Linked DNA regions of Schizosaccharomyces pombe. The protein of the gene in region 1 interacts with the protein of each later gene in a pairwise test. Each region holds a gene or a part of one and is shown on either strand. Other genes may lie near its edges. The genes, in order: cwp1 and arg7.

Evidence for each region.
Region 2: the proteins of cwp1 (region 1) and arg7 interact in a two-hybrid assay, tested with the Schizosaccharomyces pombe proteins (one large-scale study listed by BioGRID).

The regions. Positions count from the first base shown.
Region 1 is NC_003424.3:1,862,079-1,869,552, reverse strand, and holds cwp1 (geranylgeranyltransferase type 1 alpha subunit Cwp1), read left to right. Parts: upstream 1-3,781; 5' UTR 3,782-3,944; coding exon 3,945-4,621; intron 4,622-4,672; coding exon 4,673-4,880; 3' UTR 4,881-5,002; downstream 5,003-7,474. Other genes in the region: dhx37 (ATP-dependent RNA helicase Dhr1), read left to right, coding at 1-1,301; SPOM_SPAPB1A10.05 (uncharacterized protein), read right to left, coding at 1,534-2,418; protein dpc13, read right to left, coding at 5,096-5,138, 5,193-5,581; mRNA export receptor Nxt1, read right to left, coding at 5,791-6,119, 6,172-6,190; CENP-A histone chaperone Scm3, read right to left, coding at 6,609-7,474. UniProt on the Schizosaccharomyces pombe protein: Catalyzes the transfer of a farnesyl or geranyl-geranyl moiety from farnesyl or geranyl-geranyl diphosphate to a cysteine at the fourth position from the C-terminus of several proteins having the C-terminal sequence Cys-aliphatic-aliphatic-X.
Region 2 is NC_003423.3:308,894-316,684, reverse strand, and holds arg7 (argininosuccinate lyase), read right to left. Parts: upstream 3,429-7,791; 5' UTR 3,389-3,428; coding exon 2,003-3,388; 3' UTR 1,924-2,002; downstream 1-1,923. Other genes in the region: dal52 (dipeptide transmembrane transporter), read right to left, coding at 1-723; SPOM_SPBC1773.13 (aromatic aminotransferase), read right to left, coding at 4,538-5,983; SPOM_SPBC1773.12 (transcription factor), read right to left, coding at 6,741-7,791.

The DNA.
Region 1 (7,474 bases):
ATTGTGGTAAGGCAAAAGAGCGCGTGTATAATGAAAAGACTTCTGTTCAAAAATTTGAAGTACGATGGATTAGCAAAGCAAATGCTGATCAACGTGCTGGTCGTGCTGGTCGTACGGGACCAGGTCACTGCTATCGTCTATATTCGTCTGCGGTGTTTGATAGCTCTTTTCCCTTGCATTCTTTGCCTGAAATTCTGCGTACTCCGGTCGAAAGCATCGTACTTCAAATGAAAAACATGAACATTGATAACATTGCAAATTTCCCCTTTCCAACTTCTCCAGGTCGTAGTAGGCTTGAAAAATCGTTAAAACTCTTGTCAAATCTAGGGGCTATTGATAGCGAAGGGGTTCTTACCAAACTAGGAGAACAAATGTCCTTATTTCCTCTGTCTCCTCGATTTTCGAAAATGTTAATTATTGGTCAGCAGCATGGTTGCCTACCTTATGTTATTGCATTGGTTTCAGCATTGTCTATAAACCAGCTTTTTGTGTCAAAGCAATCTCTTTTATATGATGCTCATGACAAAAATTCTCGTAGCGAAGAAACTGATCTGATTGATGATGACGAAATCAAGCAAAAGGAAGAATATAAAAATAGAATGCGTGGATACTTTAATGCAATATCGAGATTTCAAGCTATAGACCCTGATGCGCCTGCCTTGAGTTTGTTAAGTGCTGTGTGTGCGTATGACTATGCTTCTGATAAGAGAAAGTTTTGTAAAGAGAATTATCTGCGAGAAAAAGCATTGGAAGAAGTCACCAATCTTCGTAAGCAAATTATTGGTCTACTAAAAAGATATATGGTTAGAGTCGAAAAAGAATTTTTCAAGTTACAGCTTAAGCCTCCAACTAGTGTACAAATTAAAGCACTCAGACAATTTATTGCTTCTGCATATATTGATCAAGTTGCTCTATATGATAAAGAGAAGCGTGGATATGTTACACTTTTCCCGTCTGGTTCCGAGGTTGTTCAATTCGTACCTGATAGAACTTATAATATTGATTCTGAATATGTTGTCTATCTTAGTCTACATGAAAGCAGAAGTGGTCGTGTTTACATGTCTCCTTTAACTGAAATCAGCCCAGAACATTTGGCTAGACTTGCTAAAAATACTACTCTTTTGTCTTACTCGAAACCCCTTTCATATCCACCAATTCGGTACCTGGATAATGCAACAAAACGAGAGTGCTGGGTTATTCCTATTCTAAGTGCCAATATTGGAACAGGATCACCTTCGTGGAATCTACCAGCCGTGCAAATCATACAAAAACGGATTAATGGGCGTTGGGTGAATTGTTAATTTTATCATTTTGTTCAAGATTTAAAAAGAAATTTAGAAGAAACAAAAATTTATTGATGACAGTTTTTCTAGCTAGATTTTTTAGATTGATCACATGTGATTTTGGTTATATTAGGGACATAAATAATAATTTGGGATACGGTTTTTGATATGAGATTTGGAACTTGGGATGCAAAAAAAAAAATAATAATAAAGGACTCAAAATTGTTAACAGGAACATAAGATATATTACTTATGTAGATGTCGAAGGGACAGCACCTCCCATGTCAATATCCATGCTATCATGAGTAGGTAGATTAGACATTTGAGCAGAATGAGTGGAATTAGTAATGGGGGTATCGTTGTTATTCATAGGATCATTAAGTTCATCATAGTCATCATCAAGCTCTTCAATAATGACCGAACTATTCGGTTCATTGACGACTCCATCGTAGGTATTATAATGTACTGGTTCTTCAACCGTCCATGAAGGATGGACTTCTGTAGGGTGATACTTCACTAGTTGTTTACTATCTGTAGGATAGTAATGTGAAGCAAAATGCCAAGTCGTTGGGTAATTAGAATTCAAGGAAGATATATAAGGATGTGCGGATTGAATACCAAAAGGAAGCATCTTCAAGCGATGAGGATGTCTAACGAGGGATTTTGATACGGCACTCTTGTTTCGATCATCATCGATATCTTCTGTTTGCTTGTCGAGTATTTGCCCTGTTGCAAGGTCAATAACTTGACCCGATTTGTCAGGATGATCGGACTCTAAAGATACTCTCTTTCGAGCAATTTCGTTCCACTCATTATTTTGTGTACTAGGAACAAGGCTATTTTGAGACGGCTCAATAACCAACAGGTCTTCTGCCCTTGGTCTTTTTTTGCTAGTACTAGAATTCTGGGGAACCAAATTGTAAGGCAAACTACTGTAAGGAGTTTTGAAGGCAGGAGGCGTGTCTGGAGTTATGTCTGATAAAGCGGCTTGTTTGGAAGTTGGGACAAAAGAATGCAATCGCGGTCGTTTCAAAGGAAAGTTTAAATGACTAACTTCTTTAGTTGGAGTGGTCGTACTGTTTTCATTTTGCAACGGGACAGATATCATAGAGTCTTGTGGTCTTTGACGCTTCATGGGCGAAATGCGAGTAGTAAATTAAAAACAAAATAATGTAAAGACAACAAAAAGTAATAAATAATGTTTGAAATGAGAAAAAAATCTAAATAAATCTGTTATGATGTTTTAGTCTAAAACCTAGAGGTAATACAGACTGCCGTAGTAACTTCCTTTAGTTCTAAATTATTTCGGTAAGTACAAACCCACAAACCCGTTCTCAAAATTGAATTAAAAAACACCGACAAATAAAGATCAGTTAATTTTTGAGTTTTTCAATTCAATAAAATTTCAGTCATCTATGTTGGTGAAGGTTGCACATTATGAGCTAAATCTAAATTTCGTCTAGTGCATGAAGTCAAGCATAATTAACCATCTAGAAAAATCCAGCAAAGTCGAAAACATTTAGAAGTCATTGCTTTCTTAGAAGACACGTTTTAATTACTTTTAATTAAATTTTTATTAGCGCAAATTCTGGTTGGTCATATATTCTGTAAGGGAAAAGTAAGTAGTAATATAAATTTGACATGACTTTTCAAAGCAGCTTCGAACCCTTTTTAAGATGTTAATTTAATTTACTGAATATTAATGGAAGGTTTGGATCAATTAAAAAATATTAAAATGCTTTAAATGCTATTATTGTTGCAACATTTCATTGTAAGTATATGTAAATAATCGGAATGTCAGATTTCAACTTAAGAAATTAAAAATTGAGTAGATCAGGAGATTATAAAGAAATAATTTGCTTCGGCATTGCTATATATTTTTTTGGAGATACTAACAAATGACATTTCATGACTCTGGTGATTAGGTTCTCGTTTTAAACTAAAATAATCATTGAAACGCATATCAATATATTTTTCTATATCGTGTTGTTCACCAGAAGCCTTCAATGCTTTATATAGGTGTTCAAATAATTTGCATGAATCTCTTTAATCCTCATCAGTTTTAATCGCTAGGATGCTGAAGATACAGATTTCTCATAGGCAATTTGTAATCACTAGTCATTCGTTTTGTACGACCAAAGCGCATCTATCCGGACAGGACATGAATTAGGTATTATTATAAACTCACAACATTTCATACTCTACTTAAAATTAGATGGGTTTTGCAATTACTTGATGTACTTGATGTTTTTTTTATTGTGCTCAAACTGAAAATATAACACCGGTTTAATTAATAGGCAATACTGAAATACCACGAATTGGTCGGTGATACTCATATAACCTGTACGTTTGAAGTTTTATGAATATACTCCGTTGCCTACAATAAAATTAATAAAAGACTATGATAAAAGTTTGAAATAAATCACATATTGTAAACATGGTAATCCTAACTCACTATTCATCTACTTACTCTCCTTAGTTAACCCACCATCACACCTGAACAATAGTACGCACTAAACAAAGAGACTCATTGTTTTTCGAGTTGATAATTTAGAAAAACCTGACAATCCTTTTTAATAAAACACTTATAATTAAATTTTCGGCCTTTAAGTATTTGTTTCTTTGAGTTGAGAATTGTACAACGGATGCCAAATTAATGAAATGGATCCCATTGATCCCGAGTTAAATGAAATTTTGGATTTTACAGAATATGGACCATTAACACCCATTCCTCAGGATGATGGCGAAAACCCATTAGCGAAAATTTGCTACACGACAGGATATGAACAAGGAATGGCTTATTTTCGTGCCATTATGGCTAAAAAGGAGTACTCCTTGAGAGCACTTAATTTAACAGGTTTCTTGATTATGAATAATCCAGCTCATTATACAGTATGGGCTTATAGATTTCAAATCCTAAACCACACGCCCAGTTACATAGACAATGAATTAGAATGGCTCGATGAAATTGCCGAAGATTTTCAAAAAAACTACCAGGTTTGGCATCATAGGCAAAAAATACTTTCTTTGACTAAGAATTATGAGCGTGAACTTGAGTTTACGAAAAAGATGTTTGAAATTGACAGTAAAAATTATCATGTCTGGTCCTACCGAGTTTGGATCTTGCAAAATTTTAATGATTATTCTCAAGAGCTGAAGTTAACCAACGAATTATTGGAAAAAGACATTTATAACAATTCGGCTTGGAATCATAGATTTTATGTTTTGTTTGAAACCTCCAAGGTGGTTTCTTGGTCTTTGGAAGAGGAACTGAATTATCTGAAAGACAAAATCCTTTTTGCTCCTGACAATCAGAGTGCTTGGAATTATTTGTGTGGGTAAGTATCTCTCATTTCCATTAATTACATTCTTCATTAACTTTTTTACAGTGTACTTGACAAATCAGGACCTTCAAAACTTGATAATCTCATAGCTAATCTCCGAAAAAATTTGCCTGCTTTACACAAGCCACTCTTAGAGTTTTTAGCTATGTACGAGCCTTCGTCGTCTGAAGAGATTTATCAAAAACTAGCAAATGAGGTTGACGTACCGCATGCCGCTTTATGGACATGGATGTCCCAAAGGAGCAATCCTTAAATCTATGCTTTGAATGCTAATTGGGTTTACTGATATTTTGATAAAGCATCTTGTTTAAAATTCCTACTAATTAAGAAAGTAGTTGTGATGTATAGTGAATCGTTTATGAAATCAATAACATTAGTCATTCCTCCAATTGTAAGTTTCACATAATAGTGAACAAGTAATGGTTATTAGGCCAAACAAAGAATAAAAAAAATGTCAGAGGCATATTTTTACTTTTCTTTCTTAAGGTTTCTTCGAACAAGTTCCAAAAATCTATAGATATGTTAGTGTTCGCACAATCAATGGAATACATTCAAAAAAACATACGCAGGATCATTTTGAATTCCAGATTTTTTAAATATCTCCGTGATAGTTTCAGCTAACTGCTTGAATTCCGGATCACGAGTAATCTTTAGGATAGTAAGAGGTGACGGTTTTGAACCAGCTTCAAGGCCGTATTTCTCAAAAAACTGACGAAGACGGCCAACCTTTTGAGCAAGTTCCGGATCATTAACAACTAATGAACTCATTTTCTCTTCAAGTTTCTGGACTTGCTCATCCATTACTGGATCCTTGAAAATAGTGTCGTCAGGTTGCGTAGTCGCACTTCTCTTCCATGTTAATATACTAGGAAACCTATTCCTATACAGAAGAGCATTGTTGTATGTAAGAGGCCTTCTGATAGTCAGCTGAGACAAATACTTCCAATATTTCATATTTGTAAGGTGGTGGTTAATTTTGTGTTCTAAAGAAGTATGAGGGATTAGGGAATGTGTCGCTCAGATAAGCTTGCTGCGGCAAATTAATACAAACTCTAAACGAAATGAAATCTTTGTTTTGGATACGTATTATTCACTCATAATTCTAAAATTTTGACTGGCAATATAATACTTTGATTCTTCCTGTTGTAGAACTATATTGTCTCTTAAAGGAAGTTAGTAGAGGATCTTAGTACAAGAAGGTAAATACAATAAAAACTGACATACGAAAATACATGAGGTTTTTTTCCATCGAAACGTATTGTTCCTGAAACAACAATTATGATATTCATATCATTACCCATGACCTGTTGACTATCGAAATCCTCAACTTTAGTTTTGGAGTATGGAAGATTAACTATCATAGAGGTAAATTCGGTTACTTGCATGGGTTTTCCATTCCATAAGATCAAACTATTTTCTCTGTAAAATTCTGCGATCCCATTTCTGTTCGTATCAAGAGATGAGTAATACCGTTGGACGAACTCCTGCGCATCTTTAATTGTTAGTTTATAGATAAAGCTTTAGTAATGCGGCATTTAACATACATTTTACACTCGACTCCATAATGATTCACAATGACAGAAATTTGTAGTGGTGTAAGTAGTCATTTAAACAGGTACATGTGTTATAAATTGAAATATTGTACTCATTAAGCGATATTTAAAGATAATCTTTGTTCAACACACTGAATGGATATTTCGGCTAGATATCTTTATGACTACGATTTTTACTTATAACATGAAGAGTGGAGAACAATTATGTGTACTCATTTGCCATACTACAAAAGCATAGATCACGTAAAAACTCAACGAATGATTAATATATTAGTAAAAAAATATATATTCGAATGTAACATGATAACTCGAAAGACAATTTGTTGTAAATGAAAACAAAAAATAAATATATGTTCGAAGAAATAGGTCATTAAAAGCCATGGTATGGCAAGCGAAGAAGATGGGAGAATAAGTGGTTTAAAGCTGAATCAACATTTTTTTGACTCAGAAATGCATTGGAAACAAAATGCTTTTTTACAAGTGCTGGAAGAATGAGGGTTCTGAGTGCTACTTCCTGAGAACGAAGTTTGTTGACTTAAAGGTTGAAAACCAAGATTAAAATGATGGGTAGAAAGATTAGGTCGAGGGGATATCATTGAAATTAATGAAATAAAGTTTCTTCGTTTTGTAGAATTGGAGTTTCGGACTTTTGACTTAGAAAAAGATCTACGTAAAGGAGTTTTAGGAGATGATAATAAAGGGTTCCTTCTTCTCGGTGAAGATAAAGTATCAGAGATGACGTGCAAAATCTCATTTTGTTCTATGCTTTTATGCTTGATTGTATCCAAACCACGCTGATCTGTTAATGTTCCTGATGAGTTTGGCAACAGACAAGATTTTTTTTCCAAAGCTGAAGCATCAACTTTTCTTGTTTTATCATTGATTTTTAGTCTCACGCATGACTGAGAGGGTATAGTTTCATTACAAACATTTTCCACAAAAAGTGAAGCTAAAGGAACTTCATCTGCAAACACACAATCTGACACCATTTCATCACGAAGTGATAGATTTTTAAATTTATAGATCTGGGGAGACTGAAAATCCTCTATATGGACTGGTGAAACAGCTTTTTCCCCTGGGTTGCCAATGCTTGAGTCTAATTTTTTTTCGTATCCATTTGACGCTGAGATTTCAAGGTTGTTAAATGTAGGATCCCATATATCATCTTTTGTTTTTAAAGCTTCTAGATGTCCATTATTAACAATAATTTCACCAGTTGCAAGATCTACTTCATCAGCTATATCAGAAGTGTCGCGTCCATATTTTTTGAAAAGAGATTCCAAAAAGTCGTTGT
Region 2 (7,791 bases), on another chromosome or scaffold:
TTTGGAGGGTTCATCGGGAATGTGAATAAATATGAAAACCCCGTTAATTATGGTAATCAATCCAGTGATAATAAATAAGATTCTCCAAGGGGACATGGTTAAATTGTTTTCAAGCTCTCGTTTATACAAGCCGTAAGACATACTTCCTCCAATAAGACCACCAAGTCCATTCCAGGCTACAAGGAATGCCATACGAAAAAATTGTTCTTCTTTTCTATACCATTGTGCAATAAACAAAACAAAAGCTGGCGTAATAACTGATTCCAATATACCCAACAAAGTACGAGTAGCGATATAGGAAGCATAAGAATGCACCAGGCAAGTCAAGGTCATTAATATACCCCAGGCCACAATGAAGGCAGACGTTACTTTGCTAAGAGGAAATTTTTGTAACAGAGTGGATAATGGTAACGAGAATACCATAAAACCAAGATAAAAAGACGTACCAACCCAATTGTATTGATTGCCCACCATATTTAAATCGGTGCGAATACCCATAATTGATGAATAATTACTGGTGGATTTGTCCATATATTGAAATGCTGAAATGAGGCAGAGAAGTGGCATAACCCATAAATCTGTCTTTAATTTGAGTTTTCGATTTAGCGATTTGTCAATAATGGGATGTTTCTCTGCAAAAATCACAGCAACATCCTCTTGGCTGTCTGATCCTTTTTCACCCAACTCCTTAATACTGTAATTTTCTTCTTCTGTCTTCTCCATGATGAGATTAGTAGTAATTGTTGTGAATGTAAGCACAATAATAAATATTTGAACTTTCCTTCGTCCTTTATATAATTGAAAGCGTCAAAGCATTATCATTGATACAAACCAGATAAGCTACAACTATGTTGATTTTAGCAGACAAAGGGCTGCAACAAGTCAACAAATTTGACAGATTAGTTTGCAAAATACTTATTTTACAAGTATCTACAGCATTTTGTCTCAGATTCAATTTCCAACTTGGTCTTCCGTGGGTAGAATAGGTTGAAATTTCGCATCAGGTATGCATACAATCAACATGAAAATCCCCAGATTTTCTTATTTTCTCATCCACGGATCTTACATCCGTGGATAGAAGTCGGAGTATGAAGGTGCCATTTTGGGGTGTACAACTTGCAACATTAATCTACCTTTTTTTCTCTAAAGATTACCACTATTGATTTAACGGACTAAGAAATTATAAAAATATTAAAGCCGTTAAAGAAAAGTAACTTTATATAACGATATATTTATTTTTTATAATTTTAAAAAGACTACTTAATAAAATGAAAATTTAAATTAAAAGAATTAATTCTCCTTTTTTTCATTGAGGCTTAAAAAATTTAACATAATTGGAATTCAATCAGCGTGATTTTGCTAATTAAGCATTGATCCTATTTGGTTATGTTTTGAATGAGTATTTAGACACTATATGAGTAAGATACACTTGGAATCATTTTTATAAAATATTTATCTCTTTTTTTATGAACCGTTAAGAGATGAAAAGGTCTTTTAATTATTTTTATTTGCATATTCTAATTATGTTCTAAGTAATACAGAAGACTCAAGAATTTTTAATTATATTTCATTTCCAAACGTGTCTCTCTGCATTGTTTTGCAAAATCATTTATTCACAACATCGAAAAAATGTGATTTTATGCAATTAGATTTTTAGTAACTTAATTAGGAAAATATCATACACCATTTTTTATATTTGCTTTTAGCACCACTTTAATTACAAGAGCTGAATACAGAGCTTGAAATCATAAATTGAATAGGTAATCGAAAAACCATTTAAGAGGAAGTTATTTGCCATAAATATAAAAGTACTATACCTTATTGTTATTGTGGATACCTCTTTCATGCAGCTCTTATAAAAATTCTTTAATTGCGTTAATTAAATATGCATGAAGAACCCATTTTACTAAATGTACAAAAAAACTAACAGAGAGAAAAGGTATTTTATTTATAGACAATTATAGAAAACCTGTTTATTAAATTAAAAAGAAAGACATAGTTTTTAAAGAATTGCTGATCGTATATGCTCGATTTGTTCTTGAACACAATGCTTAGCAGTACCACCAATTGAACATCTTTTTTCAACACTTTCTTCGTAATTAAAGACTTTTGAAACGTCTTCATCAAATAAAGGATGCAATGATTGCAAATCAGAAACTGATAACTTGTCGAGAGTAGTGTTTCTCTCTTCAGCCATGCGAACTGCGGATCCCGAAATATGATGAGTTTGGCGAAATGGAAGACCTTTACGAACAAGATACTCAGCCAAATCGGTAGCTAGTAAATCGGGGGTCAAGCTTTCGGCAATCTTTGTAGGATTGATGGTAAGGGTTGAGACAACGCCAGTCAAAATTTGCAAAGAGTCAGAGACGGTCTTAAAGGCATCAAATAGTGGTTCCTTGTCTTCTTGCAAATCTTTGTTATAGGTTGTAGGTGTGCCTTTAACAGTTATCATGAGGCCAATCATATCACCTAAAACACGACCGCTCTTACCCCGAAGTAGCTCTAAAGAATCAGGGTTCTTTTTTTGGGGCATAATACTACTTCCCGTAGAATACGCATCGGAGAGTGTGACGAATCCAAATTCCGAGCTCGAATATATGATAAGATCTTCAGCAAAGCGAGAAATGTGAAGCATTACCATGCCTGCCCAAAACATAAATTCGATGACAAAATCACGATCACCAACAGCATTCATGGAATTCATGATAATGCCTTCGAATCCAAGCTCTTTACGAAGGAACTCGCGATCGACGTTGAAAGGGTTGCCAGCTAAAGCACCAGCACCCAGCGGTAATTGACTTACACGAGTATACAGCTGACGAAGTCTGCCAAGGTCACCTAATAAAGGCAAGGCGTGAGACATGAGAAAATGGGACCAACGAACAGGCTGAGCCCTTTGTAAATGCGTATAACCTGACATTATTACATCAATCTCCATCTCAGCTCTGTTGGTAAAAACTTTAAGCAAGTTAATGACATAGACTTCAACCTCTTTGATTTTTCTGCATAGCCATAAACGCAAATCGGTGGTAACTTGGTCATTACGACTTCTGCCAGTATGTAGCTTGCCAGCAACATCACCGATTATCTCAGTTAATCGGCGCTCGTTTGCTGTGTGAACATCTTCGTCGGATGGTTCCAAAACGAATTGACCCGAATTCCATTCTCTTTGAATTTGTTCCAATCCTTTTAGGATGCTATTCAGCTCTTCTTCAGATATCACATTTTTCTGGCACAAGGCTTTTGCGTACGCCATGGAACCAATAACATCTTCTTCGCACATTTCCTTTCCACTATAGATGGATTTGTTGAATTCTGCCATCAGTGGATCAGTAGCTCCTGAAAATCTACCTCCCCATAGTTTTTTGCTTGATTTTTCTGCCATAGTGCCAAGATGCTTTTATTCAATATTATTTTCAGTCTACAAATGATGGTCTAATTTTCCTTTACTTATATAATAGCGTGAAGAAATGACTTTTTCTTCTCAGATATTCGCACTTATCATTTTAGCTTTTTTCTCTAGTTTAGATAACACTATACGAATATGGGTCAAAATAACATCCGTGGATAGCAAGTACTCAACAATCAAGCTCTTATTGAAAGTTGATCCACTGCTAAATAGCAAGTTATTTTACCAAATACTAGATAGTTAGTTTGGAAAACGCTTTGCCAAATGATCAATAGAGTCGGAATTTTTGTAGACGAATACCGAAATTGAAATTAGCCACCTAGAAGTTGAGTTTCATATTTTTCTTTTCTTTTTCTTTACTTTACATAGCAAATTCAAGTATTCAACACCATTTTGATGAAATTTCTTCCAAAAGGCTGTTTCGAAGTGAGGTGTGGAAGCATCCACTTACAAAATCAAAAACAGATGTTCGCTAGCAATGAAATTCCCAGACACATGCCTAATTTTTACAATAATGAATAAATAATACATTCTTTATTGTTTAAAAAGTTAAGTCATCTCAAGTTAAGTTGCATATCTTTATTCAGAGCAAATTACTCTAATAATAGGGAACAAATTAAAGTAGAAAATTGAGTTGTAATATATTACCATTTCTCATTAGTTATGGAATTTTTCATAATACATTTGCACATTGTTGAAATAATTTATTATACGAGCTATGCATTTGAAAAACCTACTCGTGCTAACCAGCATTACTTTCGACACACTAATGAAAGAATTAGCTACATTAGGATCTTGAGCTGTTGTCAAAATGCTTAACGTAAATTTAAAAGAAATATTTCAACTTGGTCAGACTATTGACGATCTAAGTAAAAATGCAAACACTGATCACGAAGCACATAATATTTAAGTACAAATAGTAAAAATCACAGGGTCAGTTCCTCTTGACAAATTTTTAAACAGTGTTAAGTGCAAGGCCGGCATACTTTTTATAAACATATTTGTCTCAAAATCTGAAACCTTCCTAAAAGTGATTATTAAGTAGAACACAATTTAAAATAATCTGCACTTTCAAAATTCATATATTTCCAAGGAAACAATATTTCTTTGACTTTTATAGATGATTCAAGGGCAGATTCGTACTCTGCTTTCGACATTAAAATGCTCATTTATGACTGATGTAAATCGCTTAATTCCCTCCTCAAAGTCCTCAAAGTCAGCAATTGAATATGCGAAACGGAAAAAGATCTTAGTACTACGTTCTGGATTTGCCATAAAAAACTGACCACAAACAGTTTTTACACCTTTTTCTACAAGCGCTAGGAATATTTCCATTTCAATTTGGGAAACTGACTTTTTCGTATCCGAAAAGCGGTAATGATTTAAGTTTAACTCAACCCACAAGAATAATCCAGCTCTTGGTACGTGATAAATACAAACAGAATTTGGTAGATACTTGTTTGCTACATTAAGGAATGCGTTTCGACGAACAGTATAAGAATATTGCAGCTCCTGTAACCATGCACAAAAGCCCTCTTGACCCCAATTATGCAGCATTGCATACAATACAGATTGGCAAATACCAGACGGGCTTTCCGTGCATACTTCTGCAATCCGTGTAATATGATCAATAAACATTGAATTTCCAGTAATATAGCCAAGGCGGGTTCCTGGAGCAATCAGTTTAGAGAACGAATCAAGTCGCAAAACTCGACCTTCTGTGTCTAAACTTAGCAATGAAGGGACCAAACTCTTTAAAAACGTTGACCCATCACATTTTTGCTGTGCAGGGTTTAAACTTCCGTTATAATCTTCCATTTGTAGAAAATAGTATGGCTCATCTTCAACGATGATGATATCGTATTTCCTTGCTAATGCTAAAAGCTTTTTGCGCCGACTTAATGACAAAGTAGAACCAGTAGGATTTTGACCAGTAGGAACTGTGTACAAGACATGAGGTCTAGGTCCCAGAGATATATCCCAGTCTCTCATAATTTCTTCAAGACTTTCAGGAAGCATACCTTCCGAATCCATATCAACAGATACAAATTGAACACCTAGGGCTCGCATTGCGGTGATGGCAGCAGGATAAGTGTACTTTTCTGTCAAGACATGATCCCCATAATTGACTAGCAGTCGTAAACAATATTCCAAACCACTTGTATTACCATTACTCATCTTAATATCCCAGTTTTCGTATCGGGGAGCATGAATCCGCCGAATGTGTTCCTTTATAAATCCCACCAATTCAGAAATTCCTTGGCATTGGCCATACTGCAAGGACTGAGAGAAATTTAAAAGACCCTCAGAAGGATCAGCTTTTATGTTAAATGTTACATTAACCTCTTTGGCGTATGTCCCATTTTCCTCCTTAAAGCAACCAAGTTGAGGAAACTTGATAGAAAGCTCACGGATAGCAAACTTGTTAGGATGAGGTAAACCTGAGGAAAAAGATATAGCGTCAATCCCTGTACTACTTTTAATTCTTCCTAACATTTGAAAAGGGCCTTTCTCACGAGCCTTGCTTTCTCTCGACAAATGATGGCTAAAATCCTCACTATTCCGGATCATATTGTCAAAAATATGCGATAGACTCAAAAGAAAAATTGAAGTAGTGATATGACAAGGAAGCCTTTATAAACTTCTTTGGCCAGTTTAATCATTCATTGATTACTGTCATATTTCACTTTGGGCGGTGGGAAATCATGATCAATCCATGGATATGCACGTCTACTGACTACGGTCCCATTTGGATACAATAGGAACAGATATGAGCATTTTTTGAGATTTCCGATTTGGAGCAAATTCCGTTCCACGGGTCAACTATGGAGAGGTTAAAGAAACGAGACTTTAATTTTTGTCATCTTACTATGCCCCAGCCGTGGAAGTCGGAATGATGATCCACGGATCTAAGATAACTAGTGATCGTCTTTGAAGCAAAAGTGTTTAAATACAAGTATTGGAAAATGTTGACAAAAGTTTTTGATTACATTTGCAATCGATTAAAATGGTGATATGAAAAAAAAAAACACAGAGAATAGTGTGCGCCTTGAAATATTTCAATAAGGAATATATGAGCTTGGTTCATTTTCTTTTCAATATGAAACAAATAAAAGTTTTAATCTACCACTAATAAATAAATTGCTTCTGTTGTAAGCAAATACTCAATGGCTGCATATGCTGAATTTTTTTTATTGTTTACGTTGAAACAACTCTTTGTAGTTGGTTCATTTTTTTTAAAACCTTACTGAGTACATGCGAAAATCCTTTTGACGATTCTCGAAATGTAGAAAAGTAATATTTATAATAAGTATTCAAAGAAAGAAGATTACACCAACAAACTCTCCAGTTCAAAAATGTTGGAACCGACAGAAGATTTAAGTTCTAAATAATGTTCTGCAGCATCAATACAATCCAAAGCAACGCGAGATAATTTGTCAGCAAACTCTCCGTTAATCTCCTTCATTTCGACAAAAAACCGATAGAGTGAATACATTCGATCCAAGTCCTCGATTTTTTCATCACTGGTACCTTTTTCCATTTTTAGGATATTGGAAAAAAGGATTTGAAAAGGTGTAAAAGGACAATAGAGAAACAACCATAAGTAACAAATCTTTTTAAAAATTGGTTCAATAACCATGAAGTAGCTTCTTATGGCATCTGCAGCTTTCCGTGCAATTTCTAGGCATGTTTCATAATTTGTAAGAGGATCGTAAAAGTATAGTTGAGTAATACAATACGATAAGTAAATTTCAACACAAGCAGTAAATATATGTTGATTTTCGAAATCAACATTCTTTGGAATTGTCCCATTTAATTTAATAACATCGTAGTACTGTTTCAGCTCGTCTGGCAAGTTCCTTTCCCAAACAATCAGTTTTCCTCGAATGCTTAATACGGCTTCCTTATAGACCTCTTCACTTGCCGAAGCTAAACACTTGTATATTTTTTTCCTTATTTCGTTTTTAATAATGGTTAACTGGATTTCTGAACAAAATACTATACCACCTTGACTTGACTCTGTAAACCGAGGCAAAACATCCATGGATGGAAGTTGGCAATCAATTTCTAGATCACCCAATTCCGGCGGTGTTCCAAATATCAGAGAGGTAGTTGTTTCGAATATATAACATGTCCAAAAAACCCGTCTATTTAGCTCGTCAACTTCAATGTCGACATTAGGATTCGTAGCTTCTTTGTGAAGATCCAAATCCTTAACCATTAGGCACATTTGACCGCACAAAACTTTGCAAAGATTATATAAAGATAAATGTGCACAAAATTGTATCATAATTGTTAAAGCTTGGATTTTATCCAGGCGCGCTGTAAGAAAAAAGCCAGGTTTCTGGACCAAAAACCAACTTGTAGAGAAAAGCGAT